Linked DNA regions of Oryctolagus cuniculus. The protein of the gene in region 1 interacts with the protein of each later gene in a pairwise test. Links are inferred from orthologs where the notes say so. Each region holds a gene or a part of one and is shown in the gene's direction. Other genes may lie near its edges.

Region 1 (3,802 bases):
AATATGTGATGGGTGTTGGGGAGCAGGTTGAATACTCACAGGAGCAAATGCCTGTGTCCCCTGTGGCCTGACCTCTCCCACATAAAAGCTGGGTGTGATCTTAGCACTTTGGAGACCCCTGCAGGAGCTGGCTACAGGGAGGGGCTGCCCTGGCTCTTCTGCCTCACCCAGTGTGTGCTTGCGGGAGGTGCTTCTGCCGGCTCGGGGGCTGTGCCTGCGTCTCCTGGAGCTCAGGAGCCACTGGGAAATTAACCGCCTTGGCTGTCTCGGCACTCAGTGATCTTTGTTCGCAGTCCACAGCGGGCTCCGCGGAAGACCCCTCGCCCTTCTCCCCTCTCAGGGAGGCCCTGGCACAGATTGGGCCCTGCTGGAATGTTTGTGGGAGATGCAGAGTAGACTCGCTACTCCCCGGAGGGAGAGCTCTGGATAGAAGCAGACCCAGGCTCAAGGGAGAGACCCGTGACGTTTGTTTCTGTGGCGCACCTTGGGTGCCGTCTCCAAAGCCTTGGCTTCTGTAACCCTCGATGCAAGTCTGGAGGAGAAACGCCTGCCGTCCCATTTCTCAGAGGCCAGTGGGGTGTGTCAGGTCCACCTCCTGGGCCCGGTCATCCCAGGTCCAGCTGTGAGGGCAGAGAGACTGCCCAGTGCCCCCTGCATCTGCTTCTAGAAACGCTTTGAGGTTTGCAAGGTTTCCTGGGGAGGCCGCTGGGAAGAGTTAGCACAGAGGAGAGGGCAGCTGTGATTCTGTTCCCGGGCAGGGCTGGAGGGAGTAGGCCTTGCAGAGGACTTGAACTCAGACTTGGGAGTGCCCCTGTGCGTGCCCTGCCTGTCACTCACTGTCTGGCCTTGGGAGACTCCGCGACCCCCTCTGTCCCCCCAGCATGATTAGAAAGATTGACGTGACGTGAGTGAGACTGCCTGTTGCCAGGTCATCATGATCCTCTTTCTTGTCTGAATGCTCCTTTTGTAGCCAAGCCCTCCACCCCGAAGGTGTCGGGGCCTGGGGCGAGGTCCACCCCGGAGCAGACAGTGGACTTCACGTGTGAGTCCCACGGCTTCTCCCCCCGCAACATCAGCCTGAAATGGTTCAAAAACGGGAACGAGCTCCCGGCCTTCCAGACCAGCGTGTACCCCGCGGGAGAAAGCGTCTCCTACAACGTCACCAGCACCGTCAAGGTGGCCCTGGCTTCCAGCGATGTGCACTCCCAGGTCATCTGCGAGGTGGCCCACATCACCCTGCAGGGAGGCTCCCCTCTCCGTGGTACTGCCAACTTGTCTGAGACCATCCGAGGTAGACGATTGCACCCCCACCCCCGCCCACACCTGGCTGCCGTGCCTGCCCCTGCTGGCTTTGCTCTGGGGCCTGAGTTGCTGCCTCTATTCCCAGCAGCCCTGCCCACTGGCCCCGTACCAGTCCACCCCAGTGGCTGGCGTGCCAGTCTCTGTCCTTTGAGTGGCAGCTGCCGGGTGAAGCCTGGTTGCACGCCAAGTGCTGTGCCAGTTACTCCTCTCATTCTACCATTCCAGAATATTCTGCAGGTGCTGAGCACCTGTGTGAGCCAAGCCCCTGTCTCTGCAGTGGCCACGTTCCTCCTGCATCCAGGGTTTGGGCTTGTTGATTTCACTCGCTGCTACCCTTAGGGAGCTCCCTGTCTCGAGCACCGCCTGTGTGCTGGGCACCATGTTTAGTGATGTCACGCATGTGCAGAGTCCCCTCCATGCTGAGTGCCTGCTGCATGCCTGGCCCTGTCGCGGGGGTGCCCTGGCCCTGGTGGTGGGAGCCGAGTTACTCGGCCCCTCCTCCAGGATCTGCCTGTCCCGCAAGCTCAGAGCTTCTGCCCTGCTGTTTCAGTTCCCCCCACTGTGGAGGTCACACAGCAGCCCATGGGGGCAGGGACCCAGGTGAACGTCACCTGCCACGTGGACAAGTTCTACCCCCGGAATGTGCAGCTGAGCTGGCTGGAGAATGGAAACGTGTCCCGGACAGAGACGGCTTGGACCCTGGTGGAGAACAAGGACGGGACCTACAACCGCACGAGCTGGCTCCTGGTGAACTCCTCCGCCCACAGGGAAGATGTGGTGCTGTCCTGCCAGGTGGAGCATGACGGGCAGCCAGCGGTCACCAGAAGCCACACCCTGCAGGTCTCTGCCCCGCCCAAGGAGCAGGGCACAGACACCAGCCTTGGTGAGGCCGCCCCTCCAGCTGGCCTGGCTCTTTTGAAATGTTATCTTAACGTAACCCCCCCTTTTTTTTTTTAATGTTACAAGTAGTAGCCATGCATATTATAGCATTATCTGGACATCTGTAAACATTGAACAGGTTTTTTTTTTTTTTAATTTTGTTTGAAAGATTTATTTATTTTATTTTAAAGGCAGAGTTACAGAGAGGCAGAGGCAAAGAGAGTGAGGGAAAAATCTTCCATCTGTTGGTTTACTCCCCAAATGGCTTCAGTGGCTGGAGCTGAGCTAATCTGAAAGCTGGAGCCAGGAGCTTCTTCCAGGTCTCCCATGTAGGTGCAGGGGCCCAAGCACTTGAGCCATCTTCTGCTGCTTTCCTAGGCCATAGCAGAGAGCTGGACCAGAAGTGGAGCAGCTGGGACTCGAACCAGCACCTATATGAGATGCTGGCACTGCATGCGGCAGCTTTACCCACAGTGCCAGCCCCTGAGTAGAATTTCAAAGTTGGCTCACTCCTCCAAATCCCATACTCCAAGGGTTATTACTGCTGTGAGTTTGGGACATGTCGATATGTCATAATGAACCTTCTGCCATCAGCAGCTGTCAAAACCAGGGGTGGGGGTGTCCATTCTGTTCCTGGGGTCCTGCCGCCTGCCCTTTCTACCTGACAGTTGTTCCTTCCTCTGTGCCTCCATGCTCTCTGTAACCTCTGCCAGCTCTCTTGGGTCCCGCTGCAGGCCTGCCCCCTGGGAGGGGGGCGGGGCACTGCTTGTAACCATGTGCATCCTTGTACAGATCCCATGCCACGTGCCGGCAGCTCTGTGGGATACACTTCCTCGCCACAGCGAGGCCACTCTCCCAGAGAGAAAGTGGGCGCCAGGGTGTCATTTTCTCAGCCCCCCTCCCAGGCGTTATCAGCACACCTGGGTTCTTCAAGAAGTTTGTGCCATGTGGTGTTAACAGCTAAGTTTCTTTGGGCGCAAATCATTTTGAAATCCATGCATAGAGTGAGTCTTCCAAAAGTTCGTGGAAACGTAGACCATGAAAAGGCTATGCCTGGATTTCAAATAAACATATCTTTAATTCCATTTTTTTCCATCAATCTGGTGAGGTACCCGCGAATTCCTCATGCAAACATTAGCAGCCGGTTGGACTTTGCCACCGTGCCTGGCTGAGGGCTGTGCGTGGCACAACCTTGACAGTGGACTTGCAATAGACACTTCCTGCCTTCTTGCATCCTTTGTGGAGACCCTGAAGCAGCCCTCTGATGTTCTCAGTGCCTGCAGTGGGAGATGGGATGTTGGGTTTCAACTCTGTCTCTGCTGCAGGCTTGCTGTGTATCTTCAGGGGAAGTCAGTGTGTCTCTCTGGGCCTTGGCTTGCTCGGGGCTGTGTGGTAGGAGCTGAGCTTCCTGACGCCCTTGGCTCTGAGTCTCAGCTGCTGGGGGCTTTGCCTGTTGTGTTCAGCACCCATAGCTCAGGACCTGGCACATAGTAGGCACAACATAAATACTGGGAAGGACCAAAGAGGGGGTTAACTAGATAATCCTCCCAGCTATCCAATAAGGCAGAGATTGTTGTCAGCCTCAGTAACCAAAGAGGAAGCAGGCAGGGGGAGGAAGGTG
Region 2 (3,844 bases), on another chromosome or scaffold:
CAAGTTACCATGATGGGGGGGGGGGGGTGTTCTGCAGGGAAGCCCCCCGGCTTGGTCCAGCCACCCCCTCACCATGGCAGGAGAGGAGGAGGTTAGGAATGTTTCATCCTCACTGAGTGGTGGGAAGGGCAACCTTTCCTGGCTGCTGAGCACAAACCCACTCTTCCTAGGGAAGGACCCTACGCTGGGGGCCCCGCTCCTGCTGGATGTCCAGGCGGCCTTGGGAGGCCCAGCTCTCGGCTTGCCTGGGGCTTTAACCATTTACAGCACCCCTGAGAGCAGGGCCTCCTACCTGGGCCCCGGGGCCAGTCCTTCCCCTTGAAACCTGCAAGCAAATGAAGCCGGGCTGGCTGAGGGACCAGTCCACAGCGGCACACCCCCTCTCGGCTTCCTGGCGCCCCCTGGCGGGGGGTGAGTGAACCCCCTCTCCTTGACTCCGCGGCCTCTCTCCAGCACCCTGATGAGCCCTGCACATAAATTGCATTTTTTTCTGTGTTTCTGCTCTCTTTTCTCCGTCGACCAGGGAGGGAGCACAGGTGTCCTGGTGATGGAAGGGGAACTTTGCATTCGTAAAAGCGTCCAGGTGCTAGGGCTTTAATGGAAGAATCTCCAGAGAGTCATGGTACTTGGGAAGCGGGGAGGGGGCCAACCCTCTTACTTAGGCCGGGATCCAGGGCTCACGCGTGGCCCCTGCAACCTCTGGGACGCACCCTGCCCAGCGATGCAGCGCTCTGTGACCACGAGTCGGTCGGTCCCCTTCTCTGAGCCTCGTCTGGGACAAGCAGAGAGGAGGGAGGTCGATGAGAGGAGAGCTGTGAAGCGCACTGACAACTGGCAGGCCCAGCGTGGGCGCTGGCTACGTGGGGTGCGGGCCCAACTGCCTCCTCCCCAGCTCATCTCCCGGGGAGCCCCGCGGGCAAGCGGAGCCCGGCTCCAGGTGCTGGGCAAGGACGCCCCCGCCCCCCGCCATTCCCGGCAGCCCCGGCCGTCCCGCCCCCGTCGCAGCTGTTGCTCCCACCCCCACCCCGCCCGGCCCTTTCTGCACCGTCATCTCCCGCCCCGCCGAGGCCCGACCCGTGAGCGGGGCCGCCCGTAGCGGACCCGACTCGGAGCCCCGCTCCTCCCGGCTGGGGGCGGGAAGGGAAACAGATTGGGCGGAACCAGCCTCACCACCCGCAGCCGCCACGAAGGTGGTCTGTGAGCCCCGCCCCGCCCCGCCGCAGGACTCGGCGGCTCCGGCGCTGGGCGCTGGGCGCTGGGGAGGTAAGGGCAGCTGGGCGGTCGCACATGCGCAAAGGCGCCCGCTGTTTCCCACGACCTCCGGCTGCCTAGCAGAAGAGCCGGAGGGTGCAGCAGGTGGGGATGGGGAGTGGGGGGAGGGCGGGAGCCAGCTTCACGTCTCGCCGCCTGGTGCCTTGGGAAGCATCTGGCCTCTGACCCCTGCCTTAACTTCGGGGTTCACCTTAGAGCTGTGAGCGCTGCTGGCTCTCCGCTCCGCACGCCTTGCACGCACAGGGCTGGTCTCGGGGAAATGAGGTTAACATGAAGCAAGTTAGAGAGGAGGGAGACAGGAGGACTGGGCGACGCAATCTGCGCACCCCTCCGTGTTACCCAGAATAAGTGCCGCTCCGCTCTCCCTCCCGGTGCCCGCCGTTGGCCGACCGTCCGAAAGCCGCGTTTTCGCAGCGCAGGGATGTTAGTTAAGGTCAGGAGTGCGGGTATGCCTTGCTCACTGGGATACCCGGAAGAAGGAACTACCTTGGGACACTCTGGCATTGGAGTGGACAAGGGAATATTTGAGTCTTGGGAGAAGTGGAGGGAGGGGAAGGGCACGCCAGGCTTGGGGAACAGCATCAGCAAAGGCTCAGAGGTGCCCGGGACATAGTGACACCACTCTGCCTGGCCGAATGGTGAAGGGAAATGAGGAAGGACCTGGCCGTCAGGGCTGAGGGAGGTGGCTACAGTAGCCAGAGCAGGTAGCCTGGGTTCTCTGTGGTGGGCAGCTGGCACCAAGCGATCTCACTATTGTGCAGGCTGAAGCGATACATTCTAGTCCTCCACACAGTCTCTCTCTAAGCTGGGACAATAAGCCCTCCCCCAGAGGGTTGTCAGTCACTGTGTTGTGTGGGTGGTGGGATGGAGGGGGCGGGGCATTACAGATGAGCTCCACTGGCAGGAGCTGAGGGAGGCTGAGACACGGGGCAGAATCTGTCACAGATGTGGCAGGCAGGGAGAGGCAGGGGGTAGTTCTGGTGCCTGCTCACTTGGTGGCAAGAGCTGACCCTCACACGTGGGAGTGGGGGCAGGAGGCCGGGAGAGTGTGAGCGCACACCAGGAGAGGCAGGACGAGGGCGAGGACTAAATCCCCTCTCCCAGAGGATGCCCAGCCTCATGGAGCCCGCAGCAGATGAGGGTCACCAAGGGAAGACATGATACCAGGGGCGTTGCTGCATGAGCAGAGCCAAGGCAGAGGGATGGGCTGAGGCAGGGAGCCGGCCGAGGCTGACCTCTTGGCCTCTTAAGTGCCCAGGGCCTTGCTAGCTGAGCCCAGCCACCTGAGGGGATTTGGCAATAAATGCACGAAGCATCCATGCATTAATTTCCACTGAATACCTACTGTTTCGTAGAGACACTGTCACAATGAGGAGTTCCCTTGGAGAAAAAAAAAAAAAAAATGATGGTCTGGCAAGAAGTCACGGGTAGCTTTCCTGGGCTGGGCCTTAGGAACTTAGTATCAAGCAAGAAGAGATGGCTGTGAGTCCTGCCCAGGCCCGAAGGGAGACTGCCGGGTCTCAGATGAAGTCAGATACTGGTGGAGAAGATTCAGGTAGCTCTGCCCAGGTGCCAGGGAGCCAGGAAGGGCCATGCAACCAAGCAGGGATTGCAACAAGGTGGGGGTGGCGGTGAGGGGACAGGGGCAGGGACTGTCCTGGGAAGTTGGACCTCAGGGTCAGGGCAAGGTGACAGCAGCAGGCAGGGCCCTCAGCTCCTTGTTCTGTGGATGCCCAGGGAACCCGAGCAGGTAGTACGGAGGCAGGGAGCCCCGTCCAGGGTTCTGCAGGGTCCCGGTAGGACTAAGGGGCGCCACGGTGAGAGAACCACTCAGGAGACGGATGGGAGGGGCCCTGAGTGTGGTTCGGCTGTGGGGCATCCGGTTTATCTTCCCGTTGAGGCGGGAGCAGCTTTGGGAAAGAAAAAGGCTCAAGCGGATAAGCTGTGACGGCACCTGCAAGCCCGGGGCTCAGGCGGGGAGGGCCCAGAGCTGACGTGAGGGGAAGGAGGAGCCTGGGAAGGAGACTGGACAGCCGCGGTCGGAGACGCAGGAGGACAGGTTCGGGCGGGGTCGTGCAGGTCCTGCGTGGTGCAGCCGTCACAGCCACGGGTACCTAGCGGGGCTCTGGGAGCGCAGCCAGCGCAGAACAGCCCCGGCCCTCACTACGTCTCTCCTTCACACAGCCCGGACGATGGGCAACACGCAGGAGAGGCCGTCGGAGACCATCGACCGCGAGCGGAAGCGCCTGGTGGAGACGCTGCAGGCGGACTCGGGGCTGCTGCTGGACGCGCTGCTGGCGCGGGGCGTGCTCAACGGGCCCGAGTACGAGGCGTTGGACGCCCTGCCAGACGCCGAGCGCAGGGTGCGCCGCCTGCTTCTGCTGGTGCAGAGCAAGGGCGAGGCCGCCTGCCAGGAGCTGCTGCGCTGTGCCCAGCAAACCGCGCGCGCGCCCGACCCGGCCTGGGACTGGCAACACGTGGGGCCCGGTGAGCGCGCATCGGGTGGGGTCCAGATGGCGGGGGCGTGACTCGGGGCGGGGACAGGCTAATTGGAGGGCGGAGTTGTTATTTT

Evidence for each region.
Region 2: the proteins of tyrosine-protein phosphatase non-receptor type substrate 1 (region 1) and NOL3 interact in a two-hybrid assay, tested with the Homo sapiens proteins (2 studies listed by BioGRID and IntAct). The two-hybrid records come from large-scale screens. The link is inferred for Oryctolagus cuniculus from reciprocal best matches to the Homo sapiens genes SIRPA and NOL3.

Annotation. Positions count from the first base shown.
Region 1 is NC_091442.1:27,611,758-27,615,559, forward strand, and holds part of tyrosine-protein phosphatase non-receptor type substrate 1, read left to right. Parts: intron 1-970; coding exon 971-1,291; intron 1,292-1,852; coding exon 1,853-2,185; intron 2,186-3,802. UniProt on the Homo sapiens protein: Immunoglobulin-like cell surface receptor for CD47. Acts as docking protein and induces translocation of PTPN6, PTPN11 and other binding partners from the cytosol to the plasma membrane.
Region 2 is NC_091449.1:50,465,342-50,469,185, forward strand, and holds the start of NOL3 (nucleolar protein 3), read left to right. Parts: upstream 1-979; 5' UTR 980-1,263; exon of another isoform or gene 1,264-1,356; intron 1,357-3,211; exon of another isoform or gene 3,212-3,331; intron 3,332-3,456; 5' UTR 3,457-3,464; coding exon 3,465-3,759; intron 3,760-3,844. Other genes in the region: HSF4 (heat shock factor protein 4), read left to right, coding at 171-322.